Linked DNA regions of Daphnia pulex. The protein of the gene in region 1 interacts with the protein of each later gene in a biochemical or structural test. Links are inferred from orthologs where the notes say so. Each region holds a gene or a part of one and is shown in the gene's direction. Other genes may lie near its edges.

Region 1 (6,181 bases):
GTGTCAGGATTTCCCTGGAAGTTGATTCACAGGTCCATTGACGAAAATGTTGGAATTACATTGAATCAAATGGCGGAACCTCTTACGGAGAACGAATCAAAGGTTTTTCAAACTAAATTCCATAAATTGGCCTCAAATCAAAATGACGAGCTGACAATTGCTCGTCAAATTCTCGAGCGCGTTCCTCTCATTGACGGGTATGTCCACTTTGAAATAATTCTCCGCTTTGAAGCGCTATGTAGCCTATAATTTAATTCTTTGCAAATATAGGCATAATGATTTACCGCACGTTATTCGACTCCTGGCCGAGAGTCAACTGGCTAGCTTCAATTTGACAGATCTTGCAGATAAGAATCCTTGGAAATCTGATCCTTCGTCGCATACTGATATTCTCCGTCTCCGACAAGGGAAGCTGGGCGCTCAGGTAAAACTGAATGATTCTCTCGACTATTATACATGAATTGAATCATTTTTTAATTAATCTCTCTGTCATAGTTTTGGGTGGCGTATACGAATTGCAATACTCAGCACAATGACTCGCCGCAAAAGACGATCGAACAAATTGATCTCATCTACCGCTTGATTGACTTGTATTCAGACACTTTTCAACTAGCCACCACATCTCAAGGTATTAAACATATAACTTGACACCGGTGCGGTCAACCAACTTGTGAACAATCACTTTACATTTACATATAGAAATTGAGGACATCTTTGAATCGGGTAAAATTTCCAGTCTGATCGGAGTTGAAGGTGGTCACTCCATTGGAAATTCCCTCGGTGTTTTGCGCACTTTCTATCGACTCGGAGTTCGTTACATGACTCTCACCCATTCGTGTCCGACTCCATGGTATACACATCTAATTCTTTAACTGTCATTTATTTGATCAATTATAATTTTTTTTTTAAATTATTCTTTAAGGGCTGACAATTCACAGCTGGATAACCCGGGTCAGGAACCTATTCACGACGGGCTTACCGGTTTTGGAGAAGTATATTCCTTATTTTTTAAATTGCTGTTATTCTTGATTTTTAGACAAGTTTTTGTCCGTTTAAATTTATTAAGGCAATAGTCCAAGAGATGAATCGTCTGGGCATGATGGTGGACATTTCTCATGTGTCGGTCTCGACAATGGAAGACGTATTGAACGTGTCAAAGGCGCCCGTGATTTTCAGTCACTCGGGGGCATTTTCTGTTTGCAACAATACTCGAAACGTGCCCGATCATATCCTTCGTCGATTGGTTAGTCCTACCATCAATTTTCTTTAGTCATAATTCATATAGCTTTCTGTGCTACAGGCGAAAAATGACGGAATTATCATGGTGGTATTTTACAACGAATTTATCGCCTGCGGTCAGTCGGCAAGCCTCAACGATGTGGTGCGCCACATCGAACACATTCGTAATGTTATCGGGGCAGATTACATCGGACTCGGTGGTGACTTTAACGGAGTTGACAGGTAAATTATTTATTAACAATACAAATGAGCAGGGAAAATAAGCGGTTAATATTTGAAGGGTTCCCACTGACTTGGATGATGTTTCAAAGTATCCCAACCTCTTCGCGGAATTGTTACGTCGCGGTTGGAGCGAAACAGATTTAGAAAAATTGGCTGGTAGAAATATGCTGCGCGTGATGCGTCGTGTTGAGCAGGTACAGTACTTTGTTATTTATATCACGCCACGCCTTCTTTTCAAATTAATTGTTATCAAAATGCTGATATAAGGTTAAAATGGAACTCTCATCCATGGAGCCGATTGAAGAATGGATTCCGGCCGAAGACCTCCGACCTGAGCACAAGCAATGTCTCACCGAGTACAGTTAATTTCTCATCGTTAGATTTCTTCACGGTTGATTCATCAGCAGGTTCTAAGAATTTGAACCGCGCAATTTAAATTTGTATTCTCCTCCACGCGCGCCATAGCAATCGTTTAAAATTACCCTCGCTTGATTCCGTACCAAATTCTATTATGATTGTCAATCGAAAAGAGAAACTTGCGTTTGCTTCACGCTCAGTCATCACGTCAGTTTGAATTGAATTGCTAGACTGAATTATTTGATTTCAAAGAAGATAGTATCAGGTTTGTGCAAAAATGTCTAGACTGCCAAATAAATAGCGCTTTATACATTGATAATTTCTTTTTACTGCATTAACATTTATGTAGTTAAAATTTCACGGTTAAATGTCTCTAGCGTAAATGTCGAGATATTTCTTTTTTCAAAAATCTTTTCGCGGTTTCCTAGTGTTCGTTCAATAGGTTCTCGGTAGATGAGGTTAAAGTCGCTTATTTACATGTGCTCTTTTCTTCAGTCGTCTTCTCTTGAAAATTGAAAAATGATTACACCACGTTTCAAGCTCAGCCAAGATGAAAATTGCCTATTTGTCACGATTCACGCACCCTTTTCCAAGGTATCAGACGCAGAAATTTACATGGATGGTACTGATTTTCGCTTTCATTCAAATCCCTATTACATTCGCCTTAACTTGCCGGGAGAAATAATTGAAAACGACGAGGCTAAAGCTAATTTTGATGCTGAAACAAATGAATTCAAAATCACGTGTCCAAAAGTAATAAAAGGAACACATTTCCAAGGACTGGATATGCTTACGAGTCTTCTGGCACCCAAAGGAAAAAGAAGTGTCGACAGCAAGGGAATTGAAGTGCTTGAAGAAACCTGCTCAGAAGAGGACTCGGAATCAGATTTTGATTGGTTCTTGGAGCAAAAAATTGAAGAAGAATCATCAGATTTACCAGCTAATGTTTCGAAATATGGTTTTGGCTTGAAACATTCCGGACTCTTTGCTACATTGGCTGAGGAACTGCATCAGGTTGTGGATGTCAAAAATCCTGACAACCAGTCAGCCTCAGAAAGAAGAATAGAAAGATTGGAACAAGAGAAGAGAGAATTTAATGCAGAACACTACTTGGCTGATTTTTTCCAGACTGACATGATCGATCCTCTAATTGAATACCTACCTTCAAGCAGGATTGGGGAGGAGTGGACAGAGGCAGAAACTATCCTCTTAAAAACCCTCACCAACAAAGAATACCTCCTGGATCATGATCAACTACAGTCCACATATTTGGGTTTGGTTGATATTTTGCTGGCATATTGCTACGATATGAGAACCACCATGTCCGACCCCAACGTCGAATCAGCATGGACCATAGCAAAAATTAGTGGAACTTTATCTTGGCTTGAGGTATTTTTCTTTTTCTTTGTTTATTCTCTTTCGAAATTACGCTTAATCGACTATTTGATAAAAATTTAGATTTTCACTTCGATTCGCCAAGTTGTAGATTGCTTTCTTCGTAGAAGTCTGTGTTTTCCCTTATTTCGAAACTTCAAATTGTCCATTAAAGCCATTGAAGACGCCTCAAATATTCTTAAAGAAGGGCGGACGTCAGTCTTGAGGTGTTTCTTACAAATTCATCAGCTGTTCAACAAAAGTGATCCTCGATACCTTCTTAATCAACTGTACATTCGAGACTATTGTATCTGGATACAAAAGTGTAATGACGAGACACTCGCCTCGCTAAGCCAAAGTTTAAAATCGGTAATGATTGTAATTTATGGAATACCAAATTTGTCCTGCTAATTAAATTGTCATAATTTTAGATGGAATTTACCAAAGAAGATGTTACGTTAAACCTTGTTGATCTTGAGCGGGCCGCAGTTAACCTGATGTGCTATAGTGACGACTCGTCAGAAGAATCGGACCTCGAAGAACAAATGGCCCATCTGTCACTCAAAAAGAAATCCGCTTCGAGCGCAATGCCGATTGATCTTCAGGTTGCAGCGGAAGCCGCTCGAATGAGCTCGGAATCTGATTTGGATTCTGATGATGATTCTTCATCCGAAGAAAGTGACTGATTAAAGATTCCCTTCCAATTTCTTGACTTGATGAAAAGTGTATGCACAGATAATGGAACTTCACCATAAGAGGAATACAGTTGAAACTTTTGGTATACTCCTTTTTATCATTCGAATAAAAATGTTGGCACAAGGAAGAGGAACAACATCGATCCTCCGAGTTTAAAAGGCTATTCCTTGAGCCTTAGATTTCTTTTTTCTTTATTTTTATTAAAAGCTAGACAGAACTTCTAAGAGTGTTATCGCTGCGGGCCTGGTAGAGGAATGGAAGCCGGAACTAAGACTAGCCAGTAAAATGCTTTCACATTTATGTCAGCGCCGCCTTTTTATAAAGCCCATATCAGAATTATAGTCTTTACTCTTTAGTGTCTGTAGAAATTGATAGTAAATGTTTTTTTTTTTCGTTTTTCCTGTTCTTATTTCTTAATAACAAACGAAAATGAGGACGCGTACATATTAAACACGGACATTGGATTATTTACATTTAAATTGGCTATAGATAACACTTAGCAAGATTAAATAAAACAACCTGCATAAGTTTGAACGAGAACGACTAAACAATTGTAAAAAGCAAAGTTTTTGCGTCTTTTTTATTTAAAAGAAATCGATTTTTGGCCGCCTGGGGCACGAAAGGGAAAATACGTCGTCTGTTCAGTCTTTCATTTCAGATGAGACAAGAGTGTCTCAGTTGACGGATCAGAAGAGCTTAGCTGTAGAAGTTCAAAACATTACGTCGTTTTCTCGTTATTAGTAATGTAGTGAAACCTTAATTAATTTCCCCAGTATTATTTCTTATTAACTAAGGATGACGTCTTTACTAAAGAACCAAATTATTAAGCATTTGTCCAAGTAAGATACGTTTTAAAAGATTGTTGTTGGTGCCAGTGGGCCAAACATTATTTACCTAATCTTGTCTTAAAAAGGTTCGTCAAGAATTTGTCGCCCGATAAAATAAACCTTAGTACCCTAAAAGGAGAAGGTGAGCTCACTAATCTTGAATTGGATGAGAAAGTGTTGACCAGTTTGTTGGAGCTGCCGAGCTGGTTAACCTTGGACCGAGCATGGTGCAATCGTGTTTCCATCAGAATACCTTGGACAAAACTTAAAAGTGTCCCCATATGCTTGGTATTTATTTTATATAAATAACACATTAAAATTATACTCCTGTTACATAATCAATTTTAAATTTAAGAGTCTAGATGAGGTTCATGTGTCTATGGGAACTTGTTCTGAATTGCGTCAGCCCTCCGCTAACCTAAAACCTCCAACTTATGCAGCTGGTTGGAAATATGGGTTTTCAGACAAAGTTGTTGATGGAGTTACATTGAGTGTCAACTCATTGATTATAAATTTCAAAAGCCCAGCATTTGAAGCTTCCTTGCAAGTGAGTCATAGACCCAGTATCATATTTAGGTTACATATTACATAATTACACTTTTCGAATGCAGTTTTCCCGTATTCTACTAGAGTCAGCGTCTCCTACTTGGCAACACGGAGATTTGCGATTTTCTCGGTTGAAGGATACCGACCTAGGCTTGATTTTGTTGTTTAAGGTATTTGAATAAATGATCTAAATCTTTATTAAATTTTGGAACCTAACTATTTGTTCATTTTCAGGAATTGCAATGGCAGACTCTTCGGTTGGAAGCACGGTCGACGACTGGTGACCTCTCCTTACCCCCTCTTCGTTTGATAACGAATCAGTCAAAGTGCCGAATTACAATCAAAAAGCGCCTTTTAGGTATAGTTTGCATAAATTTTGATCAACTACTTTGGAATCACTGAAATTAACTTGAATTATTGTTTACTAGATTGTGCTGTCATTGGCTGTCGTCTTGTGTTAATCATGGATGAACTACTTTGGGTGCTTACGGACGCACAGCTAAGCGCTGCCGTTCTCTTTCTGCAATCCCTCTCTTCCTTGATTGAACAGGATACTTTGGTGAATCAAAGATTTAAGGTATAAATTGGTGAATTCAATTCATCTCTATTTATTTGGTGCATAAAGTCAACGTAATTTTATCATAGGCTGCAAGGAAATTGGAGACACTTCCAGAGTACCATGCGCAGCAGCAACAGCAGCAGCAGCACCGCTCTGGTGCGCCTGGTACCACCCATAAATCTCCAAGTCCACTCGGCCGAGTTTTTGCTCGTTATGACGTGCTGGAAACCTCGTATCACTTTTTCTCAGAGAAGATCGATTTCCATTTTTGCGATGATCCCGGAGAGGGCAGAAGCAGCCACCCAGAGCTAAAAGACGGTGGAGCCCTTCAGGTTACACTCAGTCAACTTCAGCTCGATTT
Region 2 (6,998 bases), on another chromosome or scaffold:
TCTCTTTAGGTTACGGTGACATGGCTACATCCAACGCCATCGGCAGCAATGTATTCGATATTCTCATTTGTCTGGGGCTACCTTGGTTTCTTCAAACGGCCGTCGTTGATCCGGGAAGTGTAGTTCGAGTCATCAGCAAAGGTACTGTACCACCGACACTTTCACCATTGCTCACGTTTACGGAACCATGAAGTATTATTCTGTTAAAAATGCAGGATTAACATATTCAACCCTATCATTGCTGTCAACCATTGTTTTCTTGTTGGGCGCCACTCATCTGAATGGCTGGAAGCTGGATCGCAAATACGGAGTTGCTCTTCTGGGGTGGTATTTGTTCTTCATGATCATCGCTTCTAGTACGTTTAAATTAGGTTTTATTCTAACTAACGCTGAATTTTGTATTAACCTATTCATAAATTTTACTCTAGTGTACGAGATGAACATCTTTGGCTACTTTAACCCGCCGGAATGTGACAGCGAATTTTGAGAAATGAAGCGCATCTATTCTAGGTGACCATCTTACACCAACAAATATCATCTTCTTGGCAACTCCAGTCATGCAGTATTTATAGGGAATCAATTCATGGTAACCTGGATTCAACAGGGAATGAAGCTGATATACAATCCGCACTATCTAGCTTACAAGCTGTTTCCCGGAGCTTGAACGGGCTCCGCAGCTCTCGGCCGCACATATATGGTCCTTGGTAGAGCTCAAAATTTTTATTCTACTAATCTATACAGATACAACTGCAACGATGTTTACATTCACAATAATATAAAATTATAGTTCATTTATTGTGTGGTTTAAAATTTTGTTTATTATTTTGCGATGGTCCGCCATCGTCCTTTTGTTTGTTTACATTTGATTCGTATTTCGGTGTCTCGACGTGTGCCAATTTGTTGATGTTAAATAAGTAAGGTTGCTTTCCATTTTCCTCTTTTGTTAATTTCAGTATTATATTTCGCAATCTATTTCACCGTGAAACCTTGTTTATCGTAAATCACTACTTACAATTCCGAATCGAAGTATCACCAGCAAAATTTTGACGTTCGTCGAGCGGTGAGCTACAATGGATGTTGATTTTTGATTTCCACTTTTCTCATTTAATATAACCGTTCATCACCCTATTCCACATACATTACGCATGTTTCTCACCTGAAAAATCTAGCGCATTTCTTAATTCTAGGCTGAATGTACTACTCCGTGTTAGTAGCATCTCAAGCTAATAAATCAACCGTCTGTCAAATGTGTGGTTTTGAGGAAAAATCAATTAACAACAAATAGTTTCACCACAAGCTCCCATGCTTTACAGTGTAAAGCTAATAAGTAATCATTACAACATTTGACGCTTAAGTTGGTTCTTCCATAAAAGTATTGAATAAACTCGTATTTAGAGATTATTCAACGAAGAATGTTAGACACATTTGAATCAAACTTTTATAAAGCTAGAAATAACAGTATCGGTAATGAACACCGTGACCAGGTCAACTTTCAACTTATTTATATTCCGCTTGAGATGTAAAATATTGTGTCTTTATCGGACAAAGACATCGGTATTCCGAAAACTGGAATTGTCCCTGGAGATTTGAAGGGAGAAGAGGTAGAGGAAAGAAAGAGAAAAAGATTATGAATTCTCATTTGAATGGCGAGACCACCATTCCGTACTTTAGAGAATCCGTGTGGTTTTTGTATTCAAGTATTGTGTTCGGTGGAAGGTTTAAGACTCGACGAAGTGTATCTCGAATTCGGTTGGTAGTAGCCTGATCACTTGCAATTCGATTCCATACCGAAATAATATCCTCCTAAAATATATATATTTATATAAATTATATGATTTTTAACACAAAAAACATTTTTCTTACAGCAAATCGAATTGAGACGACAGCTCCACATATTTCGTCGCCTACCATAAATTGTTCGCCTAACATAGCTAATATTAAGTTCTCCCAACAACGTGAGGCTAAACCTTTTCGAAGACGCACAATCCATTTACCACCACAACGATTGGCATCATCCTGTTGGGAAAAAAAAGTAGGTTAATAAACACTTCACCACCCTTATTATTATTTAATAATACAACCTCCCACATTGGTTTGATTCCATCTTTAAATAAATGAAAGTCACTGTGACCAGAGAGTTCACAAGGCCTGACCAGATGGCAATAGTATGACCAAAACTGTTCTACAGAAGCAAAACGTCCAACCATTCTTAGATTCTGATCAAAGCTTTGGGGTGCTGCATGTTTTCCAGGAGCTCTCCGACTAAACCACAAACAGTATGTGTATCTAAAAACAAATGGTATTTCTATAATTAACATGTACTAATAAAAGTAATATCATTTTCATGTGTACTGGAGTGGATGTTCTTCTCGAGGAACTTGAATGGGTTGCTGAAAAAAATTAACCTTTAAATTAGTAGGAAAAAATGGGTAAGTGAGCACATAAATTCGTCTATCGCAATTATCACATCATTAACATAGAGTTAATAGATATTACAATAATTTTTTGTGTATTATGCAGTTAATATCTCACCAAAATTAAATCCTTTTTCTTTCTTTCTTCACTGAATGAAGTTTCGTCGTCATCACTGTCTTCGCTGTTGTTCAACCTGTCGAAAAGCAACAAAGTAAACGCAAATTCTATTAAAACATGTATAAAATTTGAAAACTTACGCATCAAATTTATTGTTATTAAGGGCCATTTGTAAATAGTTTACGAAATCGGAGTGTTACAGTCAAATTGTTCACTTAATTTATACACCAATTTGCAGCATGTAGTAGAAAGACTAAAGAAAGAAACAAGCAGTATGTCCAGAAATGTTGTACAAATTTTAGATGGTGAAAACACTAAACAGTACCCACACTATAGAGTAGCGAAAAATTGCCACCAGTTGCCACCAGGTGACCTTCAAGAGGTTTTGGCGCCACACACTAGAGTACCCTTCCCAAAGCCAAAGCGCCACGGCCCACGGGAGAAAGATGTTATAGTTATTGTAACTTCTAATGTAATGGTAATAAAGAGATAATTTGAACCATTGAATTTTAAAATCAAGTAAAATATTGGAAATACATGTCATAGCAGAAAAAGTGACTTCGTGATTAATTTTTTTCCAAAAATAAGAATCAAAAATCAAATGGCAACGCTCAACACTTCCGCTCATTGGTTTCTTTTTTTGTAGCAGAGGTTTTTCAACACATTAGATCAAAGACAGGACTTCGAACCACGTGTGAAGCACGATGCATTCATCTGGTAAGCGCCATCACATAATATAAATTTTACAAGCTAGTTATAGGGATCGATTATGTGTTTTCACATGGAAAAGATGCATTGTAGTTTGCTGCACAAATAGTATGATTCGAAATTTACATTAATTTGGTTAATTCTGTGATCTACGGATTAATGTTGGTAACACGTGTCGGTTAATGTTAGCATTCCTGTGTTTCAGAAGTCCTAGGAGAGAAACAAAGTGGAAAGAAGTCAAGAAAGTCCTTGGGAGATATTCAAGGAGATTCAGACTTTGTGTTGGAGCCATCAGAAAAACCAGTAGCAAAATTGGACTGTTCACAATGGCCGCTGTTACTAAAGGTATGTTGTTAAATATTAAATTAAATGTAGATGTTCTCAAAATAATTTATTTTAGTATCTATCTATACAAGCATTATGCTAAGAATGCTAATGATTAATTTATCGAAAGTAGTGGACTGAAAAGACTGAAGACACTCAAAGATAATGAAGCATTTAAAACTAAATTCTTAAAATTTTTCTAGTTTGAAACTTGATCTTTATAGATATTAATTTTTCCCTTGTTATTTATTAAGAAATGTGAACATTTTCTAAATCATCTTTTTTTTTCAGAATTTTGACAAGTTAAACACAAGGACAAATCATTATACACCTCTTCCAAGTGGTTGTTCACCATTGAAGAGGCCAATTAAAGATTATATTCATGGCGGTTTTATTAATCTTGACAAGCCATCTAACCCAAGCTCTCACGAAGTAGTTGCCTGGATTAAGAGGATTCTAAGATGTGAAAAGACGGGTCATTCAGGAACATTGGACCCTAAAGTTACAGGTATGTTGATAGCACTCAGAAAATCCCATGGACTTTACTAATTGAATATTATACAGGGTGTTTGATTGTTTGCATTGATCGTGCTACAAGGCTGGTCAAATCTCAGCAGGGAGCTGGCAAAGAGTATGTTGCCATATTTAAGCTTCATTCTGCAGTTGAAGATAACAATCAGGTAGTTTCTTGACCCTTCTAGTTGAAAGCCTTATGCTAAAGATGCTAATGATTAATTTATCGAAAGTAGTGGACTGAAATGACTGAAGATAATTAAAGATAATGAAGCATTTAACTGAATTCTGTTAATTTTTTAAGTTAGAAACTTGATCTTTATAAATACTAATTTTGTATATATTTTTTTTATTTATTAAGATTCCTCGAGCTCTTGAGAAGTTGACTGGAGCTTTGTTTCAGCGTCCACCACTGATCTCGGCTGTTAAGCGACAACTTCGTGTGCGAACCATTTACGAGAGTAAATTTTACGAGTACGATGCCGAGAGACAAATGGGTATCTATTGGGTTAGCTGTGAAGCCGGAACTTACGTTCGTACCCACTGTGTCCATCTCGGTTTGGTGCTAGGCGTAGGAGCTCAGATGGCGGAACTCAGAAGAGTTCGTTCTGGTAAGCCAGGAAGTTTCTTTTTGTGTGTGTTCTTAAGATGAAGATTTTATTTTTTATAAGGTATCCAAAGTGAAAAAGAAGGGTTAATGACTATGCACGATGTAATCGATGCGCAGTGGTTACATGATAATCATAAGGACGAAACATATCTGCGGCGGGTTATTCGTCCATTAGAGGCATTGATGATGTCTCACAAGCGAATAATCATGAAAGACAGTGCTGTAAGTGTGTTAATATTTATCTATAATATTCTTTATAATAATGTGTTAAAAAAATATATAACAGGTTAATGCCGTTTGCTATGGAGCTAAAATCATGTTGCCTGGTGTATTGCGGTACGAAAATGGTATCGAACTAAATGAAGAGATTGTTATAGTAACAACCAAAGGAGAAGCAGTGGCTCTCGCCATTGCTTTGATGACGACAACAACCATGGCTTCATGTGACCATGGTATTGTTGCCAAAATTAAACGTGTTGTCATGGAGCGTGACACTTATCCCAGGAAATGGGGACTTGGACCTAAAGTAAAAATTGATATAGTTTACATTGGCGTTACTTGTATGTATATGTATGTATTTGTTTAATTTTAGGCTTCCGTCAAGAAGGGTATGGTGAAACAGGGACTCTTGGATAAGTTTGGCAAACCTAATGACAAGACACCTAAAGATTGGTTGACATCTTATGTAGACCTAAAGTATGTAATTCAACGCAGTATTTGTATCAAATTTTTCAATAATATTATATTTTTCTGTAGCGTTAAAAAAGAAAAGGTTGAACCAACTGAAGATGCTGAGGCACGAAAAAGAAAGTTAAGTGAAACGAGCGCCGTTGCTGATCCGTTGTCAGAATCCATGACGGAAACCAAGGAGAAGAAGAAGAAGAAAAAGGACAAAGACCGGGTAAGTGTTTATACTCTTGTGAAATAATGATGTCTTAATCATTTATGGATGATTTTCAGGAGCCGCAGGGTAATGAAAGCATTCTTGATGCCACCGTAGAATCGGTTCCTGAAACCAAAGAGAAGAAAAAGAAGAAGAAAGATAAAACAGCTGAAAATGAAGACCTTTCAATTGCAGTGGACACATCAACAATCAAGGTAAATTAAACTTGTCAATTAATTTTTTTTTTAAACAAAGGTGTCGTGATTATTTAATGAAAGTAGTGAACGGAATATTTCTGACGAAAATTACCTAAATGAAAACATACTGCAAATATTATTCGCCGAGTAATTTGGTATGCATTAGTAATGTGAACATATTTCTATTTAGGAGGAGTCTGCCAAGAAAAAAAAGAAAAAGAAAGATGTCGATCGGGAAGATGATTAATTATAATTGAAATAATTTGTAATATTATGTTTGCAAGAAAATTCGAAAATACAATTCATTTCATTTTTATGCTGTGTATTAATTTATCAGAAAGTTTCAAGATGTGACAACTTCATTTGCTCCTTCAAAATTTAACCCTTCAACATCAACTTCATTTTCAGAGGCATTTAACATGTTCAATGTCACTTCAGCTGTTGACTTGTTATTAATCATTTGGGGCTGTTGTTGAACAACTACAACTGCTTGCTGAGGACTTGAATTAATATTCTGGAGTGGACTTGGTTGAACAACTGGTTGGCTGATGACTTTGGACAAAGGAATACCTGCTGCCTCAAAAGTTTTTTTCTTCAAACTACCATGAATTTGTGTCCTAATAAATAGAAGCAAATAAAATTTGAAATTTGAACACTGACATATGATTTTTGCAATCAACTTACACTGTCTTGTCTTTAATATGTTCAGAAATCTTTTCAAGATCTTCTCCAAAGCGCTTAATGGAACTTCTCAACATTTCAATTTCATCTTCACTCCATTTTGACCTGTATAAGAAAAAATTAAAAATACAACAGTGTTACAAAAGTAAATTACTTTAAATTATTTACCCAGCATTGGCATTTTCTGAGGAATGTAGCTGCATGGTCAATTTCCCCAACGTACTGAAAGCTAAGAAAAATAATGGCTGAAATCACTCATTCAACAATTACCTACATACACCATGTGTATTTTACCTAATCCTGCAGCTCCAAATATATCGGCAACCTTATTAGCAGAGTTCATTCTTGTGCACTTTTACAAACAACTAACCCAGAAAATTCACCACAAAGTCAATTATTTGGTATAAAAAAACATAATTTCCCGTAGGGATTCTAGTCACAGTCGAAGGAGGCTCAGTTTTGACACGCCACCGCTGCAATTCAAACTGCAAAATTCAATTGCAGTAATTAGACACTTAAATTTACGTAATTGTGACAACAATCACGCAAA

The links.
Region 2: the proteins of protein SHQ1 homolog (region 1) and H/ACA ribonucleoprotein complex subunit 4-like are reported together in a solved structure, tested with the Homo sapiens proteins (2 studies listed by BioGRID, with this or other methods). The link is inferred for Daphnia pulex from reciprocal best matches to the Homo sapiens genes SHQ1 and DKC1.

The regions. Positions count from the first base shown.
Region 1 is NC_060022.1:3,500,170-3,506,350, forward strand, and holds protein SHQ1 homolog, read left to right. Parts: upstream 1-2,270; 5' UTR 2,271-2,337; coding exon 2,338-3,207; intron 3,208-3,276; coding exon 3,277-3,561; intron 3,562-3,623; coding exon 3,624-3,878; 3' UTR 3,879-3,975; downstream 3,976-6,181. Other genes in the region: dipeptidase 1-like, read left to right, coding at 1-197, 271-424, 496-628, 700-850, 923-992, 1,067-1,243, 1,301-1,461, 1,520-1,655 and 1 more; UHRF1-binding protein 1-like, read left to right, coding at 4,684-4,727, 4,802-5,003, 5,071-5,262, 5,327-5,431, 5,496-5,619, 5,690-5,838, 5,907-6,181. UniProt on the Homo sapiens protein: Required for the quantitative accumulation of H/ACA ribonucleoproteins (RNPs), including telomerase, probably through the stabilization of DKC1, from the time of its synthesis until its association with NOP10, NHP2, and NAF1 at the nascent H/ACA RNA.
Region 2 is NC_060025.1:6,907,852-6,914,849, reverse strand, and holds H/ACA ribonucleoprotein complex subunit 4-like, read left to right. Parts: upstream 1-3,160; 5' UTR 3,161-3,236; coding exon 3,237-3,249; intron 3,250-3,445; coding exon 3,446-3,585; intron 3,586-3,855; coding exon 3,856-4,072; intron 4,073-4,128; coding exon 4,129-4,244; intron 4,245-4,438; coding exon 4,439-4,688; intron 4,689-4,748; coding exon 4,749-4,909; intron 4,910-4,973; coding exon 4,974-5,213; intron 5,214-5,279; coding exon 5,280-5,383; intron 5,384-5,443; coding exon 5,444-5,588; intron 5,589-5,647; coding exon 5,648-5,785; intron 5,786-5,851; coding exon of another isoform or gene 5,852-5,854; exon of another isoform or gene 5,855-5,957; coding exon 5,958-6,014; 3' UTR 6,015-6,083; downstream 6,084-6,998. Other genes in the region: probable sodium/potassium/calcium exchanger CG1090, read left to right, coding at 10-141, 216-356, 429-487; eukaryotic translation initiation factor 4E type 2-like, read right to left, coding at 1,536-1,578, 1,667-1,803, 1,864-2,016, 2,082-2,286, 2,353-2,405, 2,533-2,608, 2,673-2,701; chromatin complexes subunit BAP18-like, read right to left, coding at 6,111-6,384, 6,452-6,553, 6,617-6,677, 6,743-6,791.